2 linked regions of the Canis lupus familiaris genome follow. The protein of the gene in region 1 purifies or fractionates together with the protein of each later gene. This does not show direct contact. Links are inferred from orthologs where the notes say so. Each region holds a gene or a part of one and is shown on either strand. Other genes may lie near its edges. The genes, in order: BNIP1 and NBAS.

Region 1 (7,642 bases):
TTTTTGAAGCTAATGTATTCCCTAAAAGGTCTTTCTTCAACTCACATGACTTCAACTCTCCAACCACACCCACCACCTTAAGTATTTCCATGTTCTTTTTGTTTAAGTATCTAGGTGCTGACTCGGTGTTTATTTCCTTCACTAATTGAAATTACTCCACTGATACATTTACATATTAGGTCCCTCTCTCCCATCATCACCTCCTTGAGCACCAGAATATCCCTGACACCAATTAAGGACCTAAAAACACATGATTAGTGAATGAATAACCCCATCCCAGTTTTAATCTGCATTTCCTTAACATTTATACTAGGAAATGTATACAAGATTTCTTTTTGATGTTTTTAGCTCTTTACGTGAATGACTTCTTTGTGTATTTGCAACGAGATTGTGTGGTACTCAGAGACTTGGCCTCATATCCTTAGTATATAATCTCTGCATTGTAAATGTTGGGCATTGACTATGTATAAATACCTGTGTAAATGTCTTTGCGTATGTGGTGCTCCAACTGGAATTTGAGAACTATTTTACCCCTTTCTTTTCTTCTGGAACTATCTGGGTCTCTATGACAGAATTTCTAGGCAACCTTTTATGAGGAAACTATATACCTTTCTTCTTTCTTTCCTTCCTCCCTCCCTTCTAACCATACATCCATTCTTCTGTTCAATAGGTTTGGTGCCTAATAATGTTCTAGGCACAAAGAATATGTATAGTGAACATTAGGTGTAAAATCCTACTTTCCTGGAGTTCACAATCTGGCAAGGAATCTAGATTTTAAATGAATACTTAAGCAAGTAATAAACTGACTACATTTGCAAAATTTTTCCTTCATGTTTTTTTTCTCTCTGTCTCAGAATATCTGGGGCCATTAATTGGAAGTCATCTCTGAGCTGCTGAAATGGTGGATACAGACACATGTTCCTGACCAGCATGTGCAAATTAATATATAAATGAGTATATAAATAAATAAATTAGTATGTAAGTGAACTAATACATTGTTTTAGCATCAGCAGCTTGATTGAAACTGGAAATTGTTTTAATCTGCAAACAAAAAATACGACTTGATTCTTGAGGTATAATGACATCTTTAATTAGAGTCAATCTGATACTTGCATCATCTGAAGTTCTCAGGGGTCTCACACTGCTGAGCTTATGTCCATTGCCTGGTGTTTGGTTATTTGGGGCTGTGAGCACTCCTCTTTAGCAGACCTTATGTATGGGATTTTTGTGCAACCTGGACTGAAAGCAAGTCTCTTCAGAGGTTTTTGGATTTGCTTTTGCCATATCTCGTGGGATTATAAGTCTGGGAGCACATTTTATGTTAACTTCTCCTCATGGAGATTCTCAGACCTTTCAGAGAGAAGTGAATTATAACTCCAGACCAGTTTGAGGGTAGCTCCATGGATATACATTACATTCTCAGGAAATATTTTGTATCCCACTAGCCAACAAAAAAGGACAAGCTTCCATTCTGTCTGTGCTGGCTGACAGGCATGTACATGACAGGCATGGACACTGAAGGTGCATCCCTTTGTGGCTTCCAGCCTCAGATAGCTCAACACTTTATATGCCACCCGTATATGGGCTTTCAAACCTTCCAACTGTTTGCTACCAGTCAATAATGAAATAGGTACAGAGATTGAGAGTGAGCATTGAGACATGTGTAGCAGTTTGATATTTCCATGATGTCTCAAAGTAGAACCAGGGGCTCCTATTTAGTAATTTTTATTCCCTTTTCATTCCAGGTGGACCCCCTAGATGACAGGAGTGAATCTCCCATTGCAGAGCAGTTGAGCATCAGTCACAGGCTGACTGCTTTGGCTCTCAGTTCACTTCTCACTTTGGGGCCCTGGAGATTATCCTTACTTTCTTACACATCAGCTATATACTTATGGATGTTTGTTATATTTACCTGACATTCCTGAGTGTTCTCTGTTAGGAGGGTTTTCAAGTGCTATTGTATAACCTGCCTAGAAAGAGGAGTAGTTTGGTTTTTATATTGGCTTTTTTTTTTTTTTTTTTTTTTTGCTTTTAAAATCATTTTAATATAGATCTCTTTTCCCCCAAAGGAGCTTGAGCAGTCAGCTAAAGAGCAAGACAAAGAGTCAGAGAAGCAAGTTTTGCTTCAGGAAGTGGAGAATCACAAAAAGCAGATGCTCAGGTAGGTGGGGCCTGCGCTGGGTCACCTGCTCCCTGGGCGGCTTGTATAAAGGTTTGCCTAACAAACCTGGCTTAATGATTTAATTGTGTCATTTCTACACAAACTGAATGTCCTCTCTAGATCAGTAGTTCTCAAAGCAGGGACAAGCAGGGGTTGTTGGTAGGTCAAATTGTATATAGTTTACAAAAGCGTATTTACCATTATACTATATTTTATATTTTTAGGACAAAACCAAAAAATGATTGCTTTTGTAATACAACATCTTTTTCTGTAAGGAAATTGCTACTAGAAAAAGTTCCTACTTAAGATGGACCAAAATTTAGAAAGCTTTGAGTGGGACTTTATCTTAAAAAATGAAACAAAAAATGTAAATAAGATTATGCTATGTTAAACAAAGCGGTGGTTATCATTGTAGCAGTGGGCTAACCTTTGGTTATATAATTGAAGTATGCACTATTTCTGGATATTGGGGGGGGCTTTTCCAACAAAATTATCTGATGGCATGAAACAGCACCTGTCCCTTCACATGTGACTTGTATCATAATCATAAAGAGTGTTGTTGTGACAAAAATATTTAAGGCTCAAAAAAAAAAAAATTTAACGGCTCCATCAACTTTCCCCATCGTCTGGTAGCCAGGTCATTCTCTTTTGAAGCCCCTGTTAGTCATCATCCTCCTAGGTGTTGCTCTTTCTCCTTATTAATTTGCTCTAACTCTGTTGGATCTGTATGTCTCTCGTTTTGCCTTCAATGTGAGTAATTCTCCAGCATCATCCTTGGCAGGCAGCTACTGTGTTTATGACCCCCAGCCCTTAGGAGGAGACTGACAAACATGTGGGCATGGTAGAGGCTAGTATAAGTAGGGAGGGATGTGTGCATGGTCACCAGTGTTAAAGTGCTTGGCTCAGTCGGAGTACTTTGTGTCATGATGGCGTTTGCTTCCCTCAGCCACCAAGGATACTCACATTACAAACACTGAGTAAAGAGGACCCCTTGTATAAAGTAGAGTAAGTTACACCAGATAAAATGGGCTTAGTTAGCATGGCTAGGAGTTGAGAATGGCCATTCATGATGTAGGGTTACAGGGGAGAGAGAAAGCAGTAGATGAATACTTTGGCAGTTGTGTGTGAAAACAGTAGTTGCGCCTGCCTGGATTCTCGTGCTTATCACACCATTCAGCAAATATTTGTTTGTCTTTCTCCCCAGTAAATGTGAGCCCCTTGAGGGCAGCCACTATGGCTCATTCATCTCTGTGTCACAGGGCCCAGCAGAACTTCCTTGCTAACAATTAAAATATGTAATTGATTCTTTTAAAATATCAGGTGTGAAATGGCATAGCAGATGCTGTTCTGGTGACAGAGAGCTCGTTTTACATTTTAAGCACAGAGGTACTCTTAGAAAAATACCGTATCAGTTCACGTTTGACTTTGGTAAACATCTCAGGGGTTAGCACAATTGATGTGAACCAGCTGCCTAAGAGTTCTAGTGCTTGAGTTTGATTCTCCTAGGGGCCCAATTAACATTTTTATAGTTCATTGACAAAGGCTGCACTGCTAACCCCAGGGAGCTGTTCATCAAATTTGAGTTATCTCTCATGAGGGAGATCAGGTAAAGAATGTAAATAAATCACATCAAACTGCTAATACAGTGTGTTTATCTCGCTCATGATTGGTCTGAGTATGTAAAGAACAGCAAATCTTAAAGAAATATGGAGCAAAACCAAAGTGTTAAGTTACTATATTGTACACCTGAAAGTAATATTACACTCACTGTATGTTAACTAACTGGAATTTGTTTTTTGTTTTTTTTTTTAGATTTTAATTTATTTATTCATGAGAGAGACAGAGAGAGAGAGAGAGAGAGGCAGAGACATAGGCAGAGGGAGAAGCAGGCTCCACGCAGGAGCCTGATGTGGGACTCGGTCCCAGCACTCCAGGATCACGCCCTGACCCAAAGGCAGATGCTTTAACCGCTGAGCCACTCAGGAGTCCCACTAACTGGAATTTAAATGAAAACTTAGGGGCACCTGGATGGCTCAGTAGGCTGAACATCCAACCCTTGATTTTGGCTCAGGTCATGAGCTCAGGGTCCCGAGATCCAGCCCTGTGTTAGGCTCTGTGCTGAGCATGGAGCCTGCTTGAGATTTTTTCTCTCTCTCCCTGTGCCCCTCCCCATGCTCTTGCTCTCTCTCTCCTAAATAAATAAATAAATAAATAAATAAATAAATAAATAAATAAATAAATAAATAAATAAATAAAATTTTTTTAAATAAAAACTTAAATATTGAGGAAAACTGCCTTCCTATGATTTTTCTACTTCTCATAATATCTATTGATTGGCTAATGGGCCAGAGACTGTTGTTCTAGGTATTAGTGATCCAAAAATGAGTGAGATATGGTCCTCAAGAAATGGAACCAACTAGTACACAAGGTAGAACATGGTAAAATGGTAAAATGTTAGTGGTAACTGGACAGAACAGGGCCTCAAGTGCCCAAGGTGAGTTTGAAGTCTGAAGCCCTTGCCCGGCTGTAAGCACAGAAGTAAGTACTGTGGCCAGACTGCTCCCTCTGGCTGCCCTGGAGGGAAAGGGACAGCTACAGGCGGCTGGGCAGGGTGAGACCAGAGGTGTAGCCTAAGCTGGAGCAGTTGCCGGGGCAACCAAGAGGAGGAAATGGTGGGAGGCAGAGATGGATGACTCTGTAGGCCACTCTGGGAGGCCTTTCCCATCACTCCCTTGCCAGAAGGAAGAACTTCTGTTCTTTGATCTGACAGAAACTCATGCAAGACCCTTCTGATTCCAGCAATCAGACCTCATGGAGGAAGGCTAATCTCACTTGCAAAATTGCTATCGACAATCTAGAGAAAGCAGAACTTCTCCAGGGAGGAGACCTCTTAAGGCAAAGGTATCTGTCTTTTTGTCTTTCTGGGCCCTAATGATAGAACAGATAGCAATTGGCAAGGTGCAAAACCTGTGTAGGGAAGCCCTTCTTGTTTTCAGTGTAAAACTGGTAATTAATTTTATTATATAGGTAATATTTTTTAAAGTATGAAAGAAATACTGGCTTATTTGTAATAAATTGGTAAAATAAAGGTGTCGATGACAAAATGAACTATACTGTGATTGTGTTGTACACATTTTGATATATATTGTGTCCTCCCACCATTTTTTTTTTTTTACAGAGTCCTACCGTATATAAAACTTAGCGCCCTGCTCTTCTTCACATAGTATTATAGCACAAAGACTTGCTTGTTTTAGAAAACTCTTTAAACAAAGGTTCAAGAGTACTTAGTATTCCCTTGTATTGGCTGATCCCCCGTTTGTGTGTGTTTGCATTTCTAGTTTGTCAGTATTGTAAATAATACACAAGGGCACACCTTAGGACATAAGGCCTTGTCCACATTTTGGGTATTTCCTTTGTAGAGATTCCCAGGGATGACATTATTGGGCCAAAGGCATGAATGTTTCTAAGGCTCCTAATACTATTTCCAGATTGCCAGTTTGCATTTCTACTAGCAGTCTTTAGGAGTGTGGTGTCAGCATACCCTTGCTGGCATTGACTGTGATTATTGATACTTAAATATATATGCTATTTTGATAGATTAAAAAAATGGGATCGCATTTGAAGACGGGCGTTGTCTTATAGCCAGCTTTTGTTGACATGCCTATCCCACTCTGGACTTTTAGGAAAACCACCAAAGAGAGCCTGGCCCAGACATCCAGTGCCATCACGGAGAGCCTCATGGGGATCAGCAGAATGATGTCCCAGCAGGTCCAGCAGAGCGAGGAAGCCATGCAGACGCTAGGTAAAGCCAGATCAGGAGTTAGAAACTTCTCCCAGAGACTTCAGTTCCAGAGTCCTTGTCCTGGCACCTGCCACCATGCTCTCCCACCTTTGTCCCCATCCCCACCCTCATCCCCAAGCTTACTGACTTGTGTGGCTTCTCACTTCTTCAACACTGTGGTATTGCCCGGGGTGGGATATGTTGCTCTTACTTCTCTTTTTGGTTTTTATAGTTGTACTACAAGATCTGCACACCCCCGTCAAAATGTTTCCCCAGCAGAAGCATTCCCAAGGTCTCATGTGAAAAGCCGAGATCCCCAGGCCTTCTGGAGAGTAGGTGCTAGCAGGACTCGGGGAAGGGCCTGGGCATCTGTTTTTTTTCCTCTGGAGTTCTGTGGACCCATGTGGCCAGGCAGGTTGGGGAATCATTGCTTGGGAAGATGTTTTAGTGTATCGGCTGCTGGCTAGTCTGCAAGGGCCTCAGCTTATAATTAATACTCCCCAGTGTTATTTTTGCTGTAAGCTCCTTTTAAAAGATGCAATCAGAGGCCACAAAAGAAGGTGCTTGAGCATCTGGTTCTCTCCAGCAGCTTTCCCGTGGTGTCTCCCTTGTGATACAGAAGAGAATTGGCCCTTTTCAGGGTCCTCTGCATAAGAAAACAGAAGAGAGTGTTTACTCTCTGAAATAGTTTTGGAAGATTTATAAAGGGACAAAAGTGTCATGGTACGCAGATTGCACGAACCCACCACCCAACTTCAGCAGTTGTCAGTTCATGGCCAGTCTTGTTTCAGCTCCACCCATCCTGTGCCCCCATCTGGATTTCTTTGAAACAAATCACAGACATCATCTATAAATATTTCAATATGTCTCTTTAAAAGATAAGAGACTCTTGAAACAAAAAACAAACATAGCCAAACCACGATACCATTATCACCCCTAAAAAGAATCTGTAATTTTGAGCCACTTTTTTTTTTCAGTGCACTATTCAAACAGGCGGAAGCAAAAGGAGAACAGGCAGCTTGTCCCTAAGGCCAGCCCCTGTGTGTGAAACTTAACTGGGCATTTAGGCTCAAAACCAGCCAGTCACCTCCTCTACATACGTGCTGGGGGCAGAACTCAAGCCTTGGGATAGGCCTTGGAGAATGTGCAAAATAGGAGGCCACCTAGCCTTTGAGTTGAGGACTTTTCTGCTTTGATGCTGGTGACAGGATACCTCCCCCCCCACATATACATACATATCAGAAATAGATGATACAATTAAGTGGTGAGAAGGGTGCACAGATGCTGATGGCTTCTGGGGTGTTGAGGGCTGTTCTTGAGGCCCATTTTGTAGGAGAGAAAGCTGTTAAAGAAGAATGCAGTTGTTAACCCTTTCCTTACAGCTCTCAAATTCAGCTTGATTTAAAAGCCTACTAGGACTACAGTTTTTTTTTAAAAAGCATATTAGGGATATGATATCTGGAATTTGCTGGAATTGGGTGGACTAGTATGGGGACAGGAGTGCCAGGGAATTGGTGGTTCTTGGGTGTGGGTGTTGGGCACAAGGCATTTCACAATACTATTCTGTCTACTTTGGTGATGCTTTAAAATTCGCTATAATAGGAAGTTTAAAAAGAAAGACCTATTATATCTTTTTGAACAGGTTCTTAGGTTTTTGGAATGGCAGTAGGCATGGAGAAAGGGCCGAGAAAGATTTTTGT
Region 2 (7,642 bases), on another chromosome or scaffold:
TATGGGTTGATGGAGGCCTAACCTAAGAGCGTGTCAATGTGTGTGATAGTGGACAATGTGCGCCAAGATAGGGGATTTACTATCCAAACAGATGTCACGGAGGGGAGTGGATGGTGAAGTTTTGAGGTTGGCACTGAGGGAGGCTGGGTATGCCCCCAAAGGTGAAGGTGACACACAGGCCTAGCATGGCCTCCTGGAGGTTAGGTAGTCCTATCAGGTCGTGTAATGAGTGACTGAGAGGGTTACTTTCAAAGGGTCTGAATCCCATGTCATTCCAAAGACCCCACTGGGGGCTACCTGGGAAGGAGAGTGACACCCTTATGGGATCTGCCACACATAGTTTTGGGAAGAGAAATGGAAGCCAAGGATTTAGGTGTAACCATGTTGGATTCAAAAAAGACTTGCCAAAAAAAAAAAAAAAGACTTGCCAGAAATGAAAGTTACGACGTTGACTTTCTTCCTTTTCTTTTTTAAGAAAGAAAGAAAGAAAGAAAGAAAGAAAGAAAGAAAGAAAGAAAGAAAGAAAGAAGCAAAGAAAAGAAGAAGAGAAAGAAAAGAAAAGAAAAGAAAAGAAAGAAAAGAAAAGAAAAGAAAAGAAAAGAAAGAAAAGAAAAGAAAAGAAAAGAAAAGAAAAGAAAAGAAAAGAAAAGAAAAGAAAAGAAAAGAAAAGTTCACTGAAGTTTCTCTGTTAAGAAGACTTTTATGCTGTGTCTCTAGAATAAAAAGTACGATCTTGCTCTGTTTCTCCATTCCCCAATGTCTTCCTCTTTGGAAAACAAAGCTTAAAAAAAAAAAGTCTGTATGTAAGAAACCCAGGTTGGATTCATCTGTATATTTGGCTGGAAATTCACTAAGAATACTACCTTGTAATCTTTTTAAGATGTCTCCACTGGAAGGGGCTTATTGCCTATCCTGATCCTGTCATCCTATGATGCCAGGCTCCAGGTCGGCCTTACCTGAAAGCAGCTGTGCTCTGACAGCAGCTCACTGGGGAGTGGCAGGCAGAGAAGCAACTGATGGGCTCTGACCGGAATGGCAGATGCTGGCCACACCCCTGGAAGGTGGCTCGGGATTCCCCACGCAGTGTCCCTGCCTGCTATGCTACCTGCTGCATCCGCAGTGGTGCAGGCGGCTTCCTCAGCCTGGGGTACCATTTCCCACCTCCTGCTCACAGACGCACATTTCATAGACCAGGACCAATGTCGCCCATGCGAATCCTGCCCTGACTTCCAGGACGATTAAGTGCTCCCTCCTCGCTCTCTGTACTGCACTCACCCCTGGGTAATATGGTAATTAGAGCAACAGGAAGGCTTGGCTCCCCTGCAAGACTGAGCTGCTCCAGTGGGAGGCTACTTCTTCCTCGTATCTAACTCCTCGTGATGCAGCAACAGAGTATGGCCCACAGTAAACACATAGATCATTTCATTTCTCTTTCGAATAAGAGGTGTAATTTAGCTTCCTTACTACTTCAAGACCCCAAAGCAAAGGGGTTTAGAAAAATGGTGCAAGGCACGAGGCTAGGTAGAGGGGCCTCGCTGCAATGCTGTCCCATATTCACCGAGATGGCCAGTCCTAGTTTCCTCCACTCAAGCCTCGGGCACAAAGCAACACACAAAAATACGCTATACAGGCATCTGAGCGCTAAATTATGATTCAGAGCCTGGCTGGGATCCTGGCTCCATGTCCTAGGCCTATGACTCCTGGCAAGGCTTCCTCTAAAAACAGCAACAACATATACAACCATCAGAAATAATCATGAGGAAATCTACAAAGATAAATGGGAAGAGTTACAGTAGCAAGTAAAGAAGACTATTCCGTGTTTACACATTGTGATTGAAGCTGTATAAAAATCTATCTGAAAAAAAAATCTATCTGTACCTGCACAATAACTAGAAGGTAATATGCAAATGAAAACAATTATATTACTGAATGAACTATGGGGCATTTTCAAAAATATTTTTTCATTATTATTATATCATATTTCCCACTTAAAAAAAGAAAACAGGGGTGCCTGGCTGGCTCAGTCGGTAGAGCATGTGACTCGATCTCAGGCTCATGTATTCCAGTCCTACATTGGGTGTAGTGATTATTTTTAAAAAATAAAATAGGTAAGAAAATTGGGGCAAGGCCTTACAGGGATGACATGGATATCAGACATATGAAAGATGTTAAGCTCTGGCAAACACAGAACCACCAACTTGTTGCTGTTCTTCCGATCACTACCACTGCACCCGAATGAAAAATTCTTTCTAAAAATGGCATTAGAGACACACACCTTTCAAGACTTATAAAGCTTGTATACTCATAGTCCTCGGGCAAGACGGACCTAATGCATAGAAAGCTTTCAAAAAAGACGATACATACATTCTAGAAAGTCTGCAGACTTAATCAGTCCAGCTAACCTCCTGAGGTGTGAATCCTTTCTCTCCTAAGGAAGCTCCAAGTAGTTCTCTCCTGGCCTCATGCAGAATGAGTGAGAGGAGACCACACTCTGCCCGGCAAACAAGGCTCTGGAGAGAAGGGAGTGACCGCCAGAGCTGACGGGGCAAGAGGACAGCTGCAGTAACCCCGTGTCCAGATGCAGAGCCTCTCTAGTGACGCGGAAAGTCCTCCGCTCTTCCTTCCAGAATGCCTTGGCAGTTTCATAAACAGTGATGTTAAAGTGATTCAGAGATTCTGAGGAGTGTCACGAGGTGAGATACACACACCATGCTAGGCTTACCCCTTGTCCACGCTGGCATGGACGGCCGCAACAACACCTTCCAGGACCTGGAGGGGGTCCCCCGACCCACCGAGGTCAGCACTACCTCCACTGTGAAGGGAGAGAGAGAGGACTGATTCAGAACAGGGCTCGGCCTCAGAAAGCAGCGTGGTGTTCACGCTCACAAGCACCCTACTGGGTTCTGGCTGGAGAAGCTGCCAACGCATATCCTCTGCGAGCGCTAAGGATAGAGAAGTGAAACCTCTTCTGCCCTGAAGGAGCTCATAATCTAGTATATGCTGGTTTTCCTATCAAGAAAATAAAATCTACTTGCATTACGTCATTTAAAAAACATTCCATGAACATTAGATAGATGAGCTATTTTAAGCATTAAATATATTATCATCTAAATTCTCCAGCTGGATTTAAAAAAAAAATAATAAAACCCAAATATTTACGTGGTACTTACCAGGTCCAAGGCACTGCTGAGTGCTTTACACACATTCTACCATTTAGTTTCGAATAGTCTACAAGATAGGTACTATTATTATGCCCGTTTTACAAATGTGTATGTCTAGGACTTAACTGGATTTTGAAAAAACAACAGGAGAAAAGAAGTTTTAGGTGAGTTTTCTGAATAATTTAAGTGATGTGATTTAAATCAACTGGTGGATTCAGTTCTTTATGTGCCTTTGTTATTTTATACCTACTAAATTTTACTAACTTTCTAAAAAGAAAATGCTATGGATGCTGTCAATAGCAATTTCTTTTCCTTTGAAAAGGTGGTAGCTGAACTCAAGTTCCCTTTCCTCCCACTGCAGAAAGATTTAATTCACATTTATTGAATGTCTTCTGTGTGCTAAGCATAATATTTATTAGGTAAGAACCAAGTCTTTACAAGTGGAACTGGGCACAGGGAAGGAGAGAGAAGTATAATTTATGTCAGAATTTTATAAATGTAAAAATATCACATATTTTAATTATTCATGACAATGTGTAATTTTTAGGAAATAAGCTAAATTCATCAAAGCACTCATTTTTCAAAATGTTTGTTTTGGTGAGGCTCATCTAAATCTTGATTCAAGGAACAGTAATAAGATAGCATAAATCAAAAGATGCAAAATACAACCAACAAGTGTCATCCTCTGAAAGAGGAAAGTGGGTGGCTTTTACAGCCACCACCACCAAAACATAATAGGCTAATAATAGAACAAAGCATTATTAATTTGACATTTGTTATTTCTTAAAAAATGTTATGATATTTTATTTCTCCCTCTCTCTCTTCAGAATTACCAGATACCGCAGATCATTAAGGTGAAAACTGTATGAGGCTGAGGTAATTAAACTGATAAAGGCTCATTTGATTTCAGTTCAGCTGTGGAAAACTGACATGCATTTAATCAAAAAGTTCCTCAAGAGCAATGCAGAATTACAAAGCAGGTTTAAAAGGAGAATACATTAAACACAACCAAATCTTGCGGCCTAATTGCATTATTCACAGAAAGCACTTGATGCCTCATTCTCTTTTGGAGCTTGGCTTTCCCCCTCGTCCCCAATCCTCCCACGAAGACACGGGCACACTGACAGAAAGCCAGCACTTCTCAGTGGTTGGTTCCACGCCATTAACTGCAGGTAAATAAAACTCTAAGACACTTAACAGATGTCTAACTTCTTCAGTATATGATTAACCTTGCTTTGTGTATTTCAAGAAGAGCTTCTGGGCACCATTTTGCAGCCTCTACAAAGAAGTGGAAGTAGAAAAGGCAAGAGCAGAACATCCACCTGGGGTCCCACGATGTCCTGACATGCAGCTACCTCCCTCACAGGCCATTTTGGCCTTTCCCTGGAAGGAGAGGGTCTAGCCGGAAGTTAGCTTTAGGGCATGTTACATATAATACCAGTGGTGAAGTATGTCCGTGGTTCTCCATTCTCAAGGTATCTTAAGACAGAAGACTCAGAAATCTTATGATCATGTTTCACTTTTATAAAGTGCTTCAGTTTATAAAACACTTCTACATACATGGTATTTTTTTCTTCATTACTGTAAAACGAGTGCTACTATTGGCACACTATCACCTCAGGTTCCCAACGAGTCTTCTCTAGCTTACCTCAACGCAGAAATGATCTTCCTTATGGCACCCTGCACCACATCCTTGGGCGAGATGTCGAGAGGGCCCACAGCCACCTGTAGCAGCTGCTGAATCATTCTTAGAGGCAGACCATCTAGACACATGGCCACAGCTTGCTCACGAAGTTTCCCTTCCTCTGATCGGGACAGATCATAGAGGTCACCGTATTTCTGCAGTATTTCCTGCAAAGATATGGCACACAACACCTGAGTTATCAAATAGGAATTCAGTGTGTCTACATGTACACAGTGAAGCATATTAAGAAGATTCTCAAACCGAATATACTAGAACTACAAACTGAAGAAAAGGCAGTGGTTAGGAAGGGCTTGGGCTCCAGAGACATGAGGCTTGAGTACAGACCCTTGCTGTATCACGTATTAGTCTGTAGGCCTTCAGTGTCTGCAAAATGAAGATGAGGACAGAGACTCTAGGGAAGAGGGGATATTGTTAACATTAAATGAGAGAGTGTAAAAGCCTCTAGGACAATGTCAGGCACAAGGTAGAGCTCACTGAAGTATAAGTTTCTCTATTATTATTACTGGGCTGCAACCACATGACAGCTCAGACCTAGGAGTATCAACTGCGCAAACCCAGGTAGTCTAGCGTGTCACCTAATTTAATGGTCCTAAAATCCTGCAAGGAGTTTTACTTAGCTCCATTTTACCAAAAAGTAAATTGGTAAAAACCAAAGATGCAAAGTAACATGGCCAAAGTCACACGGCTAGAAATTAGGGGAAGGAAGATCAGAATCCAAAAGACATCTCCCCACCTCCATGGCACACAGCCTGCCCCTCTTGGGTACTGTCTGTAAAAATGAATATGACAAATAATATATGAAATAGGCCCCAAGCCACTGGTTTTCATCATACCAAAACATGGTCACTAAGTGTTAAGAATGCTTTCCAGGTTCTGTACAGTTTCTCAAGTAATCTTGAATATACCCTCTCGACTTTCAGAACAACCATATAAAATCCAAACAATTGGTCAGTTGATGATATTAAAGAATTCCTGATAATTTTTTACTGTGATCATGTTGTAGTGGTGGTGTTTGCAAGCATCCTTTAGAAACAGACATGGAAGTATTTACAGCCAAAGTAAAAAGATGACCCGGATTTTCTTTAAAATAATCCCCAGGAAGGGGTGAGGGTATGCATGGAATAAGATAGTTCACGTTCTGATAATTGTTGAAGCTGTGAGTCAGGCACATGACCGTTCATTTTACTCTTCTCCTCACTGTGAAATTTCTTTTTTTTTTTTTTTAATATTTTATTATTTATTCATGAGACAGAGAGAGGCAGAGACACAGGCAGAGGGAGAAGCAGGCTCCCTCTGAGAAGCCTAATGGGGACTTGATCCCAGGACCTCAGGATCATGTCCTAAACCAAAGGCAGACACCCAGGTGGCCCGTGAAACTTCTAATAAAATAAAATTGCTGTGAGTTCAAAGTGGCTACTAGTATCCCTCCTGAACAAGAGGAAACTGAGGCACTGTAGAATAAAGGCATCTAGTTTAGACTGCGTTAATCTGGGGCACAGGGAATCTTCTTTCACTGGGTGTATGACTAAAGAGGTTAAAATTATGGCCTGAACTTAAAAGGGACAAATGTATGAGGCTGAAGGTTATTTCCAGTGCTTGCTATGAAAAGTACCCTAACAAAATCAAATGAGGTCCACTCTAGGAACCTGAAGAGTCTACTACACTGGACCTCCATGGTCTGACTGATGGCATTTGCAAGCAGCTACTGGTACCTTTAAATCATAGCCTCATTGAAACAAACAGCTATTTCCATTAATAATCCCCTTGGCCCCATATATGTTATTCTAATCATTCAAAGACAATACTTGTTCCAAGGAGAGGAGTGACAATTCTCCAGATCTGAGCATGGTATATTTAATAAAAAAGATAAGACAAGTCTTTAATTTTTTATACTAATAAGTATAATCACTTTTACTTGAAGAATTCAAATTTTACCCTAGTTCTCATAATTATGGATTATAGCACGGTACATGTCAGAAAGATAAAATCAAGATTGGTAAAGCCAATTTGTTCCCTGCAAAAAGCCTTCTCTATTGCTGTACATCATTTAATGTGATTCATTAGACAGGCTAATAGCACTAAAAAATACAAAATGAAATGAAACTGCTATCAAACTTTTGAATTCTTCCCGTCTTTTCCATGAGGGCTTTGAGTTTATGTGTCTCATACAAATTTTGAAGTCTTCCATTTGTTCATTATCTGAACTGCTCTCCATTGACCCATCTTTCTAGTCAGGAATTGTTCTTTATAAGCCAAGAACACAATTCAATCAACATGTACAGTTTAAGAAAAATAAAAGAGATTAGTGGCCACTTAGAGTTTCATTTACCATCAACATTAAAGGGGTAAATGAAATATTACTTAGATATCTGTACACTGTTTGCACCGATATGAAACCATTTACCGATTGATCTGTCAACGTCTCAGTTATGTGAAAAAATCGCTAAAACTCTCTTGGCTACAACAGCACAGCAGAAAAACTACAAAAGCTACAGAGAAAGGATTTCCTCATGCTGCCCTAACACACTGGGCCTCAACTCTCATCATGGGCAGCGACTCTGGACTCTTCTGAGAATATTTTTTTGAGATATCACGAAGGTCTCAACTGGAAACCAACTAGGAATAATTGTAATAGCCAAAAAAATTGGATCGATAATAAAATTATATTGGAAACACAAAATATTAAGAAAAAAAAACAGGATGAGTGCATCTAATTAAAAAAACCGAAAAACTGTTGAAGCAGGCATGGATGGCTCTTTTGGAATTTTTCTGAAAA

Evidence for each region.
Region 2: the proteins of BNIP1 (region 1) and NBAS purify together in Homo sapiens (co-immunoprecipitation; 3 studies listed by BioGRID and IntAct, with this or other methods). This does not show direct contact. The link is inferred for Canis lupus familiaris from reciprocal best matches to the Homo sapiens genes BNIP1 and NBAS.

What each region holds. Positions count from the first base shown.
Region 1 is NC_049225.1:40,178,338-40,185,979, reverse strand, and holds part of BNIP1 (vesicle transport protein SEC20), read left to right. Parts: intron 1-2,069; coding exon 2,070-2,161; intron 2,162-4,960; coding exon 4,961-5,062; intron 5,063-5,844; coding exon 5,845-5,963; intron 5,964-6,174; coding exon of another isoform or gene 6,175-6,245; exon of another isoform or gene 6,246-6,274; intron 6,275-7,642. UniProt on the Homo sapiens protein: As part of a SNARE complex may be involved in endoplasmic reticulum membranes fusion and be required for the maintenance of endoplasmic reticulum organization. Also plays a role in apoptosis.
Region 2 is NC_049238.1:11,154,572-11,162,213, forward strand, and holds part of NBAS (neuroblastoma-amplified sequence), read right to left. Parts: intron 5,013-7,642; coding exon 4,810-5,012; intron 2,813-4,809; coding exon 2,723-2,812; intron 1-2,722. UniProt on the Homo sapiens protein: Involved in Golgi-to-endoplasmic reticulum (ER) retrograde transport; the function is proposed to depend on its association in the NRZ complex which is believed to play a role in SNARE assembly at the ER. Required for normal embryonic development.